Linked DNA regions of Alligator mississippiensis. The protein of the gene in region 1 interacts with the protein of each later gene in a pairwise test. Links are inferred from orthologs where the notes say so. Each region holds a gene or a part of one and is shown on either strand. Other genes may lie near its edges.

Region 1 (7,526 bases):
GGTTTTCAGATCAACTGGCCTTAACTGGCTACCTCTGGAGGGAGCTGAGAGCATAAAAAAGGGGTAGGAAGACAAGGGCAGTGTTCAGCCTTAGGCCTTCAGCTCCCCAGGACCACAGCTGCAGGTGCAAACACCATCTGTGTGCAAGGCACCCATTTGAACCAGAAACCAAGGTCAGGGGATCTGGCAAGAGATCCTGAACTAAGGGCCCAATCTCACCTGAGGGGGGCTGGGGGGGGGGTGGCCAGGCCCCAATCCCAGTGCAGGTGGCCAGATGGGGGCAGTGCCAGGCTCCCAGGGACCAATCCCTAACATTCACATTCAGTCCAAGCCACGAAGCATCCAGCTGATGGAAGCCAGCCATTTCCAAAAGAATGCAGGCAATTTTAAAAATCAAGGCTCAGCGATGAGACACACTGACCCAGACCACTCCACCCTGGCTTCCCTGCTCAGACATCCCCCCCCTCTAACTGAAGAGCAGGATTATTAACACCCTCGTTAATAAATCACTAAGCACTTACTCTTGCATGGGAATTTTGTCTAGAGCAGGGCTCAGTGAATCAGGCAGGAAGCCAGTGTCACTGTGCCCATTTTACAGAAAAGGGAAACTGAGTTACGTGGCATTAGCGCCCAGTCCAGTGCTCTGTCCACTAGCCCAGCCTGTTCCCAACACCTTACCTGGGTGATGCATCCCGCCCGGTGGGAAGGGATGTGGGTGCGGTGGGTGTCCTCCACTGGGTGCAGCTCCAGATGGTGGGCCAGGGGCACCAGCGCCTGGTGGCATGGGTGGAGGGGGCATGGCAGGAGGCATTCCTGGGGGCATGGCTCCAGGGGGTGGCACCGGTGGGGGGAACGAGCCGGGGGGTGGGATGCCTGAGGGAGCAAAGGATCAGTGAGAGCACTACCCCTGCACAAATCATCACCCCACAGGCCTGCATGCTGCGGCCCCGCCTTTCCCAGCCACGCAAGAGCCAATGGCATGGCTCAGGGGAGCAAGGCATCCCAGTGATGGGCCAATCAACTTGGGGATGGAAAGCTTTGCATTGATTGGTCCAGTACAAGAGATACTCATCTCAGAGCAGGTGACATGGCCAACCACCTGGGGGGCAGGCAGCGTTCCTTTCTAAGTGGGGTCAAGAACCAGGCTTGAAAACCCCCTGGCCCGAGCACAGCAAGGGGCTGGCGTTCTGAGCCCCCAGAGCTGTGTTCCGGGCCCCACATGTAGGCAAGACCCCGGCCAACAAATCAGTGCCAACCCAGAGCAATGGGCACGCTTGCCACATTCCTCCCTGTGGTCCAGCAAAGCCCTGGCATTGCTTCAATACCAACCCAGAGAGCAAAAACCCGTGACAGACTGCACCCAGCCACCAACTAAGCAACGCCCCCCCTGCCGGGGGGCACAGCACAGAGATTCCCTCACCTGGTGGTGTGACCCCGGGGCCCAGGGATGTGACAACCGGGGTGGGCACAGACGGCGGAGGAGGGGCGTCTGCAAACAGCTGATGGGGCCGGTCAGCCTGCGAGAGAGGGTTTTGGGCAGCGAGGAGGCGCTCAGCTGCTGATCCATGACGCTCGCCCTTGGAGTCCTTCTTGAAGGCGTAGGAGACGGTGATGGGGCGGTTGCAGAGGTACTGCCCGTTCATGGCCTCGATGGCAGCGTCTGAGGCGTCGAAGCTGGCGAAGTTGATGAAGGCATAGCCCTTGGAGTTACCCGTGTCGGGGTCCCGCATGATCTTGGGTGTCTGCAGGATGACGCCGAAGGCGCTGAAGGTGTCGTACAGCAGCTTCTCGTCGATCTCTGGGTCCAGGTTGCCGATGAAGATGTTGGCGCCCACGTCCAGGTTCTTGTTGTGTGCCGAGGCCTTGTTCACCCGGATGGGCTTCCCGTACAGCTTGATCATGTTCATGATCTTGATGGCATAGTCGGCATCCTCCTCACTGAGGAACTCCACAAAGCCGTAGCCTACAACACACCGCAATTCACTGGGATGGGATGCAGCCCCTGGGACCCACTCGAACCCCTCTCCCCCTTGCTCTCCGCTTCCTCACGACCCCTGGCCCCATCAGAGCAAAACCCTGCTTCCTCTGCGTTTCTCTCTCCTGTTGGCTCATCTGGAAGTGCCCCCTTCACACCTACCCTGATCCCAACTGCTGATGGGAAACCTTCTCTGCTCCACCTGCCAGTCAGATCCACCTCAGTGCATGTATATATGACCATATAACCCAGGGATCTTTTTCTTCCCAAGTTCTCTCACCCCCTGCTCCGATACGTTGTATCAGTTTAACTCAGTAGGGGGAAACCTTTGTGGCAGACTAATTTGAGTGCAACAGGAGGGGCACACCCGCTGCTGCACTAAAGCACTACGAGAACTGAAACATGCACAATACATATGTAGTCTCAAAGCTTTCTGGGCCACCCTTCCTGTCAGTCCTCAGAGCCGTCCTTCTGCCTGGCAGCTCAGGGCCCTGTTCTCTGAGCACGGGTGCGCTACCACCGTAGGTCTCACTTCTAATGCACCATTTACTCCCTGCTCCAGCAACATGGAAGATGACTAGGAAGACAAGGTCCTTGAAAGCCTTTCCCTACCAGCGGGGGCTGACCCACACAAGAACTGCCAGTTACTGGGTGAGGCCACAGGCCCACTTTGCCCCGTCTCCTGTCACGTGGCAGCAGAGAGCAGACGCTGAAAGGAAGAGCGAGCTGGGTCCGATCAGGGTTTTCCCCCCTGTTCCCCTCTCCCTTGCCGCGTCCAGCATATAAAACCCAGGTTTTACCACGATGGAGATTTCTCACCTTGGTGCTGGCCCGTGACCCGGTCTTTGGGCATGTGCGTGTTGACCACGGGGCCAGCCTGGAGGAAGAGCTCCCACAGCAGCGGCTCGCTGACCTTCTCGTCCAGGCCGCCGACGTAGACGGTGGCATCTTGACAGGGAGAGACGAAAGAAAGGGGCGTCAGTCACGGGCTCGAACAGGGGCAGAGACCGGGGCCGAGTCCTGGGGGCTCAGAGCACGACAGCGAGGGCAAAACCTTCCTCGCTCTGTGACGCAAACCCCAGACCCTCGCTGCGGAGAAATTTGGGGCCAGCAAGGCCACGTTCAAGAAGGGGGCGGCTTATAGGGCCGCCCTGGCGCTGCATTAACTGGGCTGGATGGACCCAGTCGGACACTGCCCGTGTCCCCGAGGGCCCAGAAGGGGGTCAGTGCACGGCGACCCCCCCGGCAGCACGGACGAGCACGTCGCAGGGTCCTCACGCAAACCCCCCAGTCCGCCCCGCGCCGGGGGGAAACCCCTGCCTGCCCCTTTGGGGCCAGAGGCCTTGGCCCGGCCCGGCCCGCAGCAGCGCCCGCGCGCTGGGGGCTTAAAACCCCGACACGTGGACCTGGCCCGGGGCGCCCCCAGCAAGGCAGCCGCCGCCGCCCAGGGAGGGACGAGACGGGCCCGGCCCGGCCGGGGGGTCGCACCCTGGTTCCGCTCCGAGATGGGCCCGGCCGCCATCTCCTCCGCGCTGAGCCGCCGCCGCCGCCGCCAGGCGACCTCCGACCCTTCACCTCGTCCCCTCCCGACACCACTTCCGGTTCCCGTCTAAGCCGGAAGTGCGCTCCCCAGCGGCCATGTTGGCCAAAGGCGGCCATGTTGGAATCGGGCGAGAGCTGCAGCCGCGCGCGGGGCGGCCATGTTGGAGCCGGGCGGAAGCGGCTTGCGAAGGTGTCTGAGCTGCTGCTGATGTTAACGCCTTGTGGGACACGCTGGTAATAACAACAACAGGGCCTAGGCTTGCTGCCAATAACTAGCACAGCACCCATTTTGCAGGTGAACAAATTGAGGCCTAGAAAAAGGACGAGACTTGCCCAGGGGCAGAGCAGCCGGTTTCAAACCTGGCGCAATTCCCAGGTATAGCCCTGGCTTGCAGGGGGAGTCCTTGCAGGGCCGCTCTGTGCCTCAGTTTCCCCGCCTATAAGAGGAAATGCCGATAGCGGCTGCTGAGTGAAGTACTTTGATATCTACCCAGCATGTTCATTAGGGTTATCAGTCGTTAGTCCTACTTGTAATGATTAACTGGCTGATAATACCCTTGAATCGGAGGCTCGTGGGATTTGGCACCACACGGGACGTCGAGATGATTTCGCCCGCCCTCACGAACGGCACCTGGAGACTGCAGCCTCTCGCGCGACCTTTTGGGGTGAACTGGGACATGTCCTTCAAACACGCCACCGCACCCCGTAGCTTTAAAAATACTGCGTTTATTGGGCTCTTAAATAGAAACGTCACTACAAAAATATACAGACTAGGAAAAAACAGAATGCCCTTCGGTGGGATCGCGACGTACCTCCTGCCTCGCGTCGCGGGGGACGCGGGATCCGAACGCCGCGGCCACCCAAAGACTTCTTAAGAAGTAACCAAAGGAGTTGCTTCAAGGGAGAGCCCAGGCCCCCGGCCGGCATCTTTTTAAGGAGCGATGGAGACACTCAGCTCTTCCCCCCAGGCCTCTCATGGGGCTGGAAGGAGTTTTTAAGATGAAGTGCGCACGGCTCCCCATCGTTTTCAGGCAACCGGCACAGTGTTTTCCAAAGCGGCATTGGACTTTCAGCTGTGACTGCCTCTGCCCATCCTGCAACTCCACTGCTTTCAAGCCCTGCGAGAAGGGGAGGCGTTCGATCCTTGCACCGATCCTTTTCTAACCCATGAAATTAAAGGGATCCTTTCTATTAAGTGAAATAGATGGCGAGAAGCACGTGCATGTGCACACACCGTGAATAAGCTCATCCATGTGTAGTCTCTGGTTCTGCCTAAAGTGCTTCAAGCCCAATGGAAACCCATCTCCTGCCGGTTACTAATTATAGCTAGAGCTATTTTTAAAAAAATAAAATAATACAAATAGCTTTAAACAAAATGTGTTACTGATAACTGTGCCAGGGCCTTGAGAAAAAAAATCCTGCAATAGAAACACCTAATCAGCAGTGAGGTTGTTCCCCCTTCCCCTCCCTTCCTCTGCTGCAGATTTTATAGGGTTAGAAAGAGATCCCAAAGCAGGGAGGAACATACTGGCCCTGAGCTACCATCAGCAATGTCTGCATATACTGAAGTGGGGGAGCTGCAGGGAGTTTGGAAGGACCTGAAAGACTCCAGCAAGTTTCCCCATGTGGGGCCATCCCCTGAATCCTAGTAGCAAGGGCCTGAATCCACCCCGCTGGGAAGATTCCCCTTGCTGGGCTGTGAAGCTCCCAGACAGGATGGGCTTTTGGAGAAGGCCCAATTCACCAGAGGGGTCAGGAAGATTCCCAGCCGTAAGGCACCACCACCCCATCAAGCTTGTCAGCGCAGAGAACAGGTGGTAACACAGGGTCGAGTCTGATCCTGGCCATGGGGGACAGAGAGGATGTCCCAGATCCACACCAGCCCATGCAACAGCCTGATGTGCAGCTGATGCAATGGGACCTAGAGCTCAAGGAAGAGAGTCTGCAAGAGATGGTCTCACAATCCCAGATCCGGCTGCTGTCCCTCTGCAAGAAAGCAGCAGCCGCAACCTGGACTTGGGGGAGTGCATGTACACGCCACATTTTTTGCCTTTCCATGTGGTGCAACTGTGTGTCTGTTTGCACGAGCAGGGTTTCCGGACGCTTTTTTGCGCATTACAGTAAAACTCCTCAGGGACTTCAAAAGTGCTTCTGGAGGTAGCAGGATTACAGCAAATACCACGCCCCCTCTCCCCAACCTACTCCCTTGTACACAGCAGCTTACAATGCATCCGAGCCTCTAGGGCAGGGGAGACAGGGGTCTTCCAGTCCTCCCACCCCAAAGATTCCTCACTACTGCCTGCTTTGAGGGGTCCAACTGGGAAAACCCAGCAGAAGCAGCCTGGCTAGGTGGGTGGAAGGTGCTGCAGACCCACCCACGATCCGCAGGGAAGGGACAGCTAACTAGCAGCAGGGCAGGGCTCCTCCACAGTCCCCAGAGCCAGGATGACCGTGGATCTGGGACCAAGGGGAGAGCTCCATCTCTAGGGCTCGTTCTGGAGATGCGGGTCCCCTCTGCCATGTTGCTGGGAGATGCCCAGTCACCAGGACAACTGGGCAACATATCTGCGACCCCTCAGTAGATGCCAAGGGCTGGGCAAAGTTCCAGGCCTGGGACCGAAAATCCAGCAGTATCCGGGTGCCCGTCTCCAAGATGAGCTGCACACAACAGCCTGTGGGCACTGGCTTCTTTGCCAACATGCAGGTGGACAGGTCTGAACGCCGGGGAAGTCGGTCATGTGAGTCCAGCCGCTGCCTAACATCCTCTCCCAGCAGTGGTCACCATCAGCGGGACGGGGAAAGGGGGCTTCCTGCCTCCTCCGACTCCGCAGGGCTGGGGGGAGACGTGGCCCTCCAGTGCCCATCGTTCAGACACTCTTGAAGCAACTCCAGCTCCTCGGTGAGGTCGGTGAGCATTGCAGGGAAGAGGCCGCGCTGAGCAGGGGGGAAAAGAAGCAGAGGCATGGGGTCAGGGCAGGCAGCTGGGGTACTGGCTAGCTTAGTGCCATCAGCTAGTGCATGGAGAGGCTGGAACAGCCGGAGCCCAGACCCACCTCGCTGGGCACCTGACAAGGACCAGCTCGATTTATCCCTCATTGGGCTACACCCAGGGGCTGATGAAAAGCATTGCTGTAGCACACTCGGTGCTGTACATAGCCCCCGTCCTGAAGATGCTGCAGGGGAACGTGGGGAGTCCCACTGGATACTAAGGCTTCCAGCTTCCTTCTCCACCATTCCCCTCTCCACCCTAGATCCAGCCCCTTGGCCCACACCACCCTGTTGCAATGAGGGCAAATGGTTTGAATGGTAGATTCAATGGTTTGAATCAACACAGGAGGGGCAAAGGGACTTGACTGAGGTTACAGGAGGTGGCAGTGGCAGAGCACCGCCCCCACCGAGCTGCCCCGAGCCCAGCCTGGCCCTCACCTGCCGCTCGGGGCTCCCACGGAGGTAGCATCGTCTCCAGAGCTGGATCGCCGACCCCGTGCAGGCAGGCACCAGGACCGCTCCAGGCAAGGCAGGGCAGCTGCTGGGCCAGCCCCACTGGTCGTTGAGGCTGTCCGAGGATGGCACCCGCCACGGGCCCTTCTTGACGAGTGAGCCGTTCTTCCAGGGGAAGAGGTGGGGTTGCGGGGCCAAGCCCCCCCGGGCCAGGAGGAACACAGCCCCAGTCTCAGACAGGGTGGCTTTCAGCTGGAGAGAGGCAGGACGTGGGCTGGGGCTTTGGGAAGGGGGACAGGACATAGCAGGGAGCAAAGACACAGCAGGGCTAGAGGGGACTCGAGGCTAGACTCCTGGGTTCCTTCCCCATCCCAACCAGGAGGAAGACCAAGTTGTCCAGCTCCTCGTCCCTTGTGCTGTGACCATTAGCCTGCCTGCCTGCCCACACAGCCCCCACCCAGAGCTGCCTGTAGTGCCCGGACCCACCCCACACAGAGGCAACCGCACTCACCTTGCTGCAGCCCGGCGGGGCCATGTGCCCATCACTGGCCCTAGTGTAGATGGGGTT
Region 2 (8,070 bases), about 17 Mb from region 1:
AGGCCAGGCTGTTGGCAGCACCTGGTGTCATGCCAGCTGATGCCCTGGCACTGCACAGAGGCTGGTAGCACTGCAGACAGGTGAGAAACTGAGGCATGGAGTGAGTGGCAACTGGAGCTGGAATCAAGCTGGGGGGTGGGTACACATTCCCCAGCTTCCCCAGTGCAGGAACCCCTGGACCGGGCTGAGAGCCCGCGACCCCCCTCACCTCTTGTCTTCCCGGTGCTCATAGTAGCCCCTGCCTCGCGGCTCCTCGTATGGCCGCTTACGGCCCTGTGGCTGTGGTGGTGGCTGCTGCTGGGGTGGCCTGGGTTGGGAGGCATCAGGCGTGCTGTAGCTGGTGGGAGGCGCGTTGAAGGCTGGTACAGGGGTGCTGTAACTCGCTGGGGGCGCGCTGTAGCCAGGGGCAGGTGCACTGTAGTTGGCCGGTGGGGCGCTGAAGCCAGAAGGAGGGGCGCTGTAGCCAGGAGCAGGGGCGCTGAAGCCTGGTGGGGGTACGCCGTAGCCAGGAGCAGGTGCAGTGTAGCCAGCTGGGGGCACGCTGTAGGCAGGGGCAGGGGCACTGTAGCCAGAGGGGGGCATGCTGTAGCCAGAAGGGGGTGGGTTGTAACCGGGGGGTGGTATGTTGTAGCTGGGGGCTGAGGCGTTGTAGCTGGGGGGAGGCAGGTTGTAGCCGGGGGTGGGGTCTTCCTGCTTGACTTCCGACTTCATCTCTGTGCACAGAAAAACAGGCGGCGTCAGGGGGCTGGAGAGGCTGGGTGCAGCCTGACAGCGATGCCTCGACAGCCTCAGACACTCAGTGAGGTCTTTGAGGGTGACAGGGGGGTGGGGGGGGGTCTCTCCAAACTGCTGCAGGGGGGTGGGCAGGGCAAGCTCAGGGAACAAGGGCCAGGCAGGGCTGGTGCTGAGTTCAAGGGATACTGGAGAACCCAACACTCGAAAGCCCTAAGTGGAGGCTTCTCAAAGGTGCCAAGTTGGGGGCAGGGAACCATGGGGCAGCTGCCAGGCAGGACCCAGCCCACATCTCCCCATGGCCAAGGAGACTCCCAGGGGCAGGGGCCAGGCACCTGTGGGACCCCCCGCCCCACCAATTCCCGCCAACAAAGGCCCCTTGGCGGGCTGGTCCCTACCTGGGTGCAGGCCAGGATGCTCCGTCTCTGTTGGCCGCCGCTCGTAGCTGGACTCATTCTCCTGCCTGACGGCGCCATGCTCAAAGGACTGGTAGCCCTGGTGGTCGCTCTGGTGAGTGTTGCTGTCGATGTCGTCTGCGCAACAGAGACGTGGCTTAAGACGGGAACCGGTAGGGAGCTGTGGGTCCCGCTCACTGGGGCGGGGTGCGTGGAGCTGCACTGGAGGCTCCAGCACAGAGCGCGGTGCGGTTGGCAGGACAAGGGACCGGCCAGGCATCACCGAGGTCCCTGGGGGTGTTTCCGGGCAGGGAAGTTTGGGAGTGATGCTCATCAGGGCTGGGAGCCAGGGGAAACCCAGCAGAGGCAGGATCCAGCTGCCTGCCTGCTCCCCCAGCTGGTGTGGCCAAAACCCACCAGACCCAAAAAACCTGCAAGCAAAGCAAAGCATCCAGCAAGGCAGCAGTGAGGGGTGTAGGCCCCCCGATACCAGGGATCCGCCGGGAGGGAGGTGCCGGGGTGGGGGGGGCGGCGCAGAGACACAATGTCACCAAAGCAGCCAGGGGGTGATCGGCTCCCCACGGCAGGAAAAGGGGACGGAGACGCGGGACACACACCAACGCTGGCCTCGAGGGGCTGCCAGCGCACAGACCTCCCAGCACAACCAGCCCGGCTCGAGACAGGAGCAACAGCTGAGCTGTGCCGGGGAGCCCGGTCCCCAGCGCGGAGCTGCACCGGGGGGCCACATGCAGCCCCCCCGCCGGACTCTGGGCAGGCACCCGACTTTCAAGCAGAGCCGTCGGATCCATCGCCCCGGGGAACTTTCTGCCTCACGCCGCCACCTCCTCCACAAAGCCCGGAGGGCACACCCGCGAGCTGAGGCGCCCCAAAGGTGCCTGGAGACCAGCACAGGACACAAACGGGGCACCTCAGCACCCCCGGGCTCATCTCCGGAGGACCTGCCCTGGCGTTCCCCTCCCGGAGCCGCACGGCTCCGTATGGAAACGAGCCATGCAGCCGGCGAGCCCCTATTGCCAAGGCCCCTGAGGCCGGCGTGCGCTCCTCTGTGCAGGCAGGCAGCGTGTCGCGTCCCACCACTGCTGCAGCTAAGGCTGGGGGGGCCCCCAAAAAAGTCCTGGCTCCCAGGGTCTTGAGTGGGTTCAGCACTCCCACGGCACAAAACCAGCTCGGCCGGGAGGCAGCTCCGCTACGGGATGGGGGAGGCAGACAGAACGTGAGCAGGACAATCCCCACCGCATGCCCGGGCAGGTCCGCCGGGCCGGCCCTCTGCAGCAGGGTGACGGAGCAGAGCCGCGATGCCGTGGGCTGCCCCGGCTCCTGTCCCGCAGGGCAGCCTGGGGGCCCGGTGGCCAAGGCCCACAGGAAGAGAGCGCGGGTGACCCTTTTGGGGTACCTGGCCCCCACCACAGACTTGCAAGTCAGAGCTTGTTGCTGGAGGTGCAGCAGGGCGGGGGGCACAGCACAGCAGCGCTGGGGAGCTCCCCCCACCAGGGGAGATGCACCAGGAGACCAATGGTGGAGCTGCACCAGGGGGCCTGTCCCACCACGGAGATGCACCAGGGGCCAATAGTGGAGCTGCACCAGGAGACCCAGTCCTCAGCGCGGAGCTGCACCAGGGGGCCAATGACGGAGCTGCACCAGGGGGCCCAGTCCCCAGCGCGGAGCTGCACCAGGGGGCCAATGACGGAGCTACACCAGGGGGCCCGGTCCCCAGCGCGGAGCTGCACCAGGGGGCCAATGACGGAGCTGCACCAGGGGGCCCGGTCCCCAGCGCGGAGCTGCACCAGGAGGCCCGGTCCCCAGCGCGGAGCTGCACCAGGGGGCCAATGACGGAGCTGCACCAGGGGGCCCGGTCCCCAGCACGGAGCTGCACCAGGGGGCCAATGGCGGAGCTGCACCGCGGGCCCCGGTCCCACCACGGAGGTGCAGCGGGGCCAGTGGCGGAGCGGCTCTTGCCCCCTTACAGTGTCCGTCGGGCGCGGGGTCGCCGCCGCCGGGCCCGCGTCGCGCCTCCTCGGCCTCCAGCGCCGCCTGCAGCCGTTCGGCAAGCTCCGCCTTGAGGCCGCGCGTGTCCAGGCCGCGGCGGCCCAGCTCCTCCTTCAGCTCGTTGACGCGCAGCCGCCGCACGTCCATGGCCCCGGCCCCGCGGCCCGGCCTGGCCCGGCCCGTCACTCCGCGCGCCGCCCGGCCATGGAGCCCCCGCCGCGGCCCCGGCTCAAAATGGCCGCCCTCGCCCTCCTCCTCCCTCCCCGCGCCGGGCCGCCTTGCAACGCGCGCCGCCATTGGCTCCGCGCGCCGGCCCGCCATGTCACGCGGCTCGCCATTGGCTCCCGGCCGCCGCCCGCGGTTCTCCCGCTCGCTCTCGGTTTGTCACGGGGTGCCCCATTGGGCCGGGGCGGCCGCGGGGTTGTTACGGGCCCGGCGGTTGGCTGGAACCCGGGTGACGCTTGGGGGGAAGCGGCGGGGCGGGATTGACAGCGAAAGAGGCTGGCAGCGGACCAATCGCAGCAGGCGTCGCTCTTCTGCTGCGCTGGAGGGCGCGGAGGCGCCTGGGGTGGGCGGGGCCAGTGTTAGCACGCCTCCAATTGGCTGAGCTGCGGCGAGGCGCCTGGTGGGTGGGGCCAGCGTGCTAACACGCCTCCTATTGGCTGTTTGGGTGCCTCCCATTGGCCGAGCCCTGCACGAGTTAAAGTTGTTTTTTTTTTTCCTTGCCCCTTTCCCATTGGCGGAGCCCTGGCAACCAGGGCTGAGGCGGGGTGTTAGCCTGCTCCCTATTGGTGCAGCCCTGCTGACACGTTGTCAGCCGCACTCTCCTTGGCTGAGAGCCATGGGCGCCATTGTGGGCGACGAGGGCACGCGGCCCCAGTCCTGAGGTGGTTGCCAGAGGGCGGCCATGTTGCCCGTGCCCTCCTGCGGGGACTGGTGGGGCGCCCGCACGATGCCGCCCACCGTCCTCCTCGAGTGCCTCCTTCCCAACGGGATGCTGGTGCCCCTGGAGAGCCCCCGCGAGGCCTCGCTGCTGTCCGTGAAGCGCCGGCTCTTCCGCGAGGCCCGGAAATACCCGCTTCCCCACCTCCTCCGCGACGCCGCCTGCTACGTCTTCGTGGGCGTCACGCAGGACGCCGCCCGGGAAGAGTTTTTCGACGAGGCGCGGCGGCTCTGCGACCTGCGGCTCTTTCGGCCCTTTCTCCAAGTGGTCGAACCCGCCGGCGACCGGGACGAGAAGATGCTGAACCGGGAGATCGGGCTGGCCGTCGGCACGCCCGTCCGCGAGCTGGAGGCGTCGAGGGACCCGGAAGTGCGGGACTTCCGCAGGAACGTCCTGAACGTCTGCCGGGAGGCCGCCGAGCGGCGAGGGGCCGACGCGCCTCGCAGCCGGGCTTTGTACGCTTGGCCTCCCCGCGTCCACGCGTCGCCTGAGCTGCCCCGGCCCCTGTACGACAAGCTAGACGAAGGGCAAATGGTAGTGGCCGTATGGGTCGTAGCCTCCCTGAATAACAAGCAGAAATACCCCGTAAAAATCAGCCATGACTGCGTGCCCGAGCACGCGATCGCCGAAGCAGTCAGGGCGCAAACACGAAGCGCGTCGCTGTCACCTGAGCAACTGAAACGCCGCGTCTTGAAGTACCAGGATAAGTACGTTTTAAAAGTGTGCGGCTGTGATGAATACTTGCTAGAAAGGTATCCTCTCAGCCAGTATAAGCACATCAGAAACTGCATCATGGTTGGCCTCGTGCCCAACCTGATGCTGATGTCCAAAGAAAGCCTGTATGCCCGGCTGCCGTCGGATAGCTTTACCATCCCGTCTTGTCCCAGAGGTGTTTCTACGCCTACCCCGTACACGAATGCAGAAGTTTCCGCCAAATCCCTCTGGTCTATAAACAGTGGTCTCAGAATAAGAATCTTCTGTGCCACGTACGTCAATGTAAATACACGAGACGTGGACAAGATATACGTCCGAACGGGTATCTATCACGGGGGTGAACCGTTATGCGACAACGTGAAAACTCGAAGGGTGCCTTGTTGCCGTCCGAGATGGAACGAATGGCTGTCGTATGACCTGTACGTTCCTGATCTCCCCCGTGCCGCTCGCCTTTGCCTCTCCCTCTGCTCTGTCAAAGGCAGGAGGGGTGCGAAAGAGGAACATTGCCCACTGGCTTGGGGAAACGTGAACATGTTTGATTACACGCACACTCTCGTATCGGGGAAAATGGCTTTGAGTCTGTGGCCAGTGCCACATGGGCTGGAAGATCTGCTGAATCCTATTGGCATGACTGGGTCCAATCCAAGCAAGGAAACTCCGTGTCTAGAGCTGGAGTTTGATAGTTTTGGCGGCCCTGTCAAGTTTCCAGACATGACGGTGATTGAAGACCATGCCAGCAGGGCTGTCTCTCTGGAACTCGGGTGTAACTACAGCCGTATGGAGCTGACTAACAGGCTAGCTAAAGGTTTTGAAGTAAGAGAAAGCGACAAAGAACAACTCCGTGCACTTAGCGCAAGAGACCCGCTTTCCGAAATCACTGAGCAAGAGAAGGACTTTCTTTGGAGCCACAGATATAGTTGTGGAAACATCCCAGAAATTCTGCCCAAGCTGCTTTTGTCCGTGAAATGGAACTCGAGAGATGAAGTAGCCCAGATGTATTGCCTGATAAAAGACTGGCCCCTAATCAAGGCAGAACAGGCAATGGAGCTTTTGGACTGTAATTATCCTGATCCTGTGGTGCGATCGTTTGCCATTCAGTGTTTGGAGAAGTGCTTGACCGATGACCAGCTGTCTCAGTACTTAATCCAGCTGGTACAGGTTCTGAAATACGAGCAATACTTAGATAATCTGCTGGGGAGATTTTTGCTCCAGAAAGCACTGACCAATCAAACAATAGGACATTTTTTCTTTTGGCATTTAAAGTCTGAAATGCACAATACAAGTGTGAGGCAGAGATTTGGATTGCTTTTGGAGTCCTACTGTCGCGCATGCGGGATGTACCTAAAGCACCTGCGCAGGCAGGTGGAAGCCATGGAGAAACTAACTCACCTTACTGATATTCTCAAGCAGGAGAAGAAAGATGAAGCACCGAAGGCACAAATGAAGTTTCTCGTTGAACACATGAGGCGACCAGATTTCATGGAAGCTTTGCAAGATTTTATCTCTCCTCTTAACCCTGCCCTTCGGCTAGGGAACCTCAGGCTTGAGGAGTGCAGGGTTATGTCCTCTGCAAGAAGGCCTCTCTGGCTAAACTGGGACAACCCAGATATTATGGCTGAACTGTTGTTTCAGAACAATGAGATCATCTTTAAAAACGGGGATGACTTACGTCAGGACATGCTAACGCTTCAGATTATTCGAATTATGGAAAACATCTGGCAAAAGGAAGGTCTTGATCTTCGGCTGCTGCCTTATGGCTGTTTGTCTATCGGCGACCGCGTGGGCCTTATCGAGGTGGTCAGAAGCTCTTATACAATCATGCAGATTCAGTGCAAAGGAGGCCTAAAGGGCGCGCTGCAGTTCAGCAGCCACACGCTACATCAGTGGCTCAAAGACAAGAACCAAGGAGCGGCGTACGACGCAGCGATCGACTTGTTCACGTGCTCCTGCGCCGGCTATTGCGTCGCTACCTTCATACTGGGCATCGGTGACCGTCACAATAGCAACATCATGGTGAAGGATGACGGGCAGCTGTTTCACATCGATTTTGGGCACTTCCTGGATCACAAGAAGAAAAAATTTGGCTACAAGCGAGAGCGCGTGCCATTTGTCCTCACGCAAGATTTCTTACTCGTGATTAGTAAAGGAAACCAAGACTGTACCAAAACGCGGGAGTTTGAAAGGTTTCAAGAGATGTGCTATAAAGCTTACTTAGCAATTCGGCAGCAGGCCAATCTCTTCATCAATCTCTTCTCCATGATGCTCGGCTCGGGCATACCGGAATTGCAGTCTTTTGATGACATTGCTTACGTTCGAAAGACGCTCGCCTTGGACAGAACTGAGCAGGAAGCTCTGGACTATTTCACAAAACAGATGAACGATGCTCACTACGGCGGCTGGACGACAAAAATGGACTGGGTCTTCCACACGATAAAGCAACATGCCTTGAACTGAAGTGAAAGCAAAGAGGACCAAAACCAATAGCCAGCTTTTAGGGCTGCGCCGCTAACACCTGTTGGATTGGAGTCACACAAACCACGAATGACGTTAGAAGTTATAGCAAGAACAGAGGCAGTTTTCCAAAGGGCTTCACACACGTTTAGTAGGCTCTTTAACTTCATGTTATGCTTTAAACCCAACAAAAGGGTTTGGAAGTTTTTCCTGTTTCTGGTTTTTTGATTAAAGGATCATTTGGCAGGAGGAGGAAGAGTGCCAGCATCAGAGGCCGTCCGTGACGTGCTACAGCAAGAGCTCTGGTTCGGGAGGTGGAGACAACACCGCGTTTCTAATGAGTGGAAAGGGAACTTCTCGTTTCCCTTGGCTATTTAGATGCTGCGTATCTGGAAGGAGAGGAGTTTTAAGGGCAGAACTGTTAAAAATAATAGCGAGGGAACCACAGTGCCTTTAACTGTATTCACACACATCCTGTTTGGGGTTTAACTGAACCTTTTCGTTCTGGGGGCTGTTGTCTGCTTGGTTTTTGAAAGCAGTGTGAAATACGCCCGATACGTACCAGGTTTTCCCCTGGGCCGTATTTGTACAGGGGGAAATAAAACATCCTGGTGTTCGCTTCGGGCTCGATTGAATTGAACGTGAACTGAACAGGCAATTTCACGCGTGTTCGGAGCCTAAAGACCAGTTATTAAAATTGTTTAATTAAAATGTATTATGTATTATTTATTAAAATAATCTTTCAATAATTTTTTGTATAAAAGCGATGGCTAGCATAGGAGCTATTATTAGTATATACTTTCAATATGGTTTGTCCCAGAGTTGCTC

Evidence for each region.
Region 2: the proteins of SF3B4 (region 1) and HNRNPUL1 interact in binary tests that used the Homo sapiens proteins (3 or more experiments, as listed by UniProt). The link is inferred for Alligator mississippiensis from reciprocal best matches to the Homo sapiens genes SF3B4 and HNRNPUL1.

What each region holds. Positions count from the first base shown.
Region 1 is NC_081838.1:18,100,214-18,107,739, forward strand, and holds the start of SF3B4 (splicing factor 3B subunit 4), read right to left. Parts: upstream 3,575-7,526; 5' UTR 3,498-3,574; coding exon 3,464-3,497; intron 2,924-3,463; coding exon 2,795-2,923; intron 1,964-2,794; coding exon 1,421-1,963; intron 874-1,420; coding exon 679-873; intron 1-678. Other genes in the region: MTMR11 (myotubularin-related protein 11), read right to left, coding at 6,302-6,451, 6,944-7,210, 7,470-7,526. UniProt on the Homo sapiens protein: Component of the 17S U2 SnRNP complex of the spliceosome, a large ribonucleoprotein complex that removes introns from transcribed pre-mRNAs.
Region 2 is NC_081838.1:1,511,168-1,519,237, reverse strand, and holds the start of HNRNPUL1 (heterogeneous nuclear ribonucleoprotein U-like protein 1), read right to left. Parts: upstream 3,366-8,070; 5' UTR 3,282-3,365; coding exon 3,113-3,281; intron 1,266-3,112; coding exon 1,131-1,265; intron 714-1,130; coding exon 209-713; intron 1-208. Other genes in the region: phosphatidylinositol 4,5-bisphosphate 3-kinase catalytic subunit alpha isoform-like, read left to right, coding at 4,042-7,245.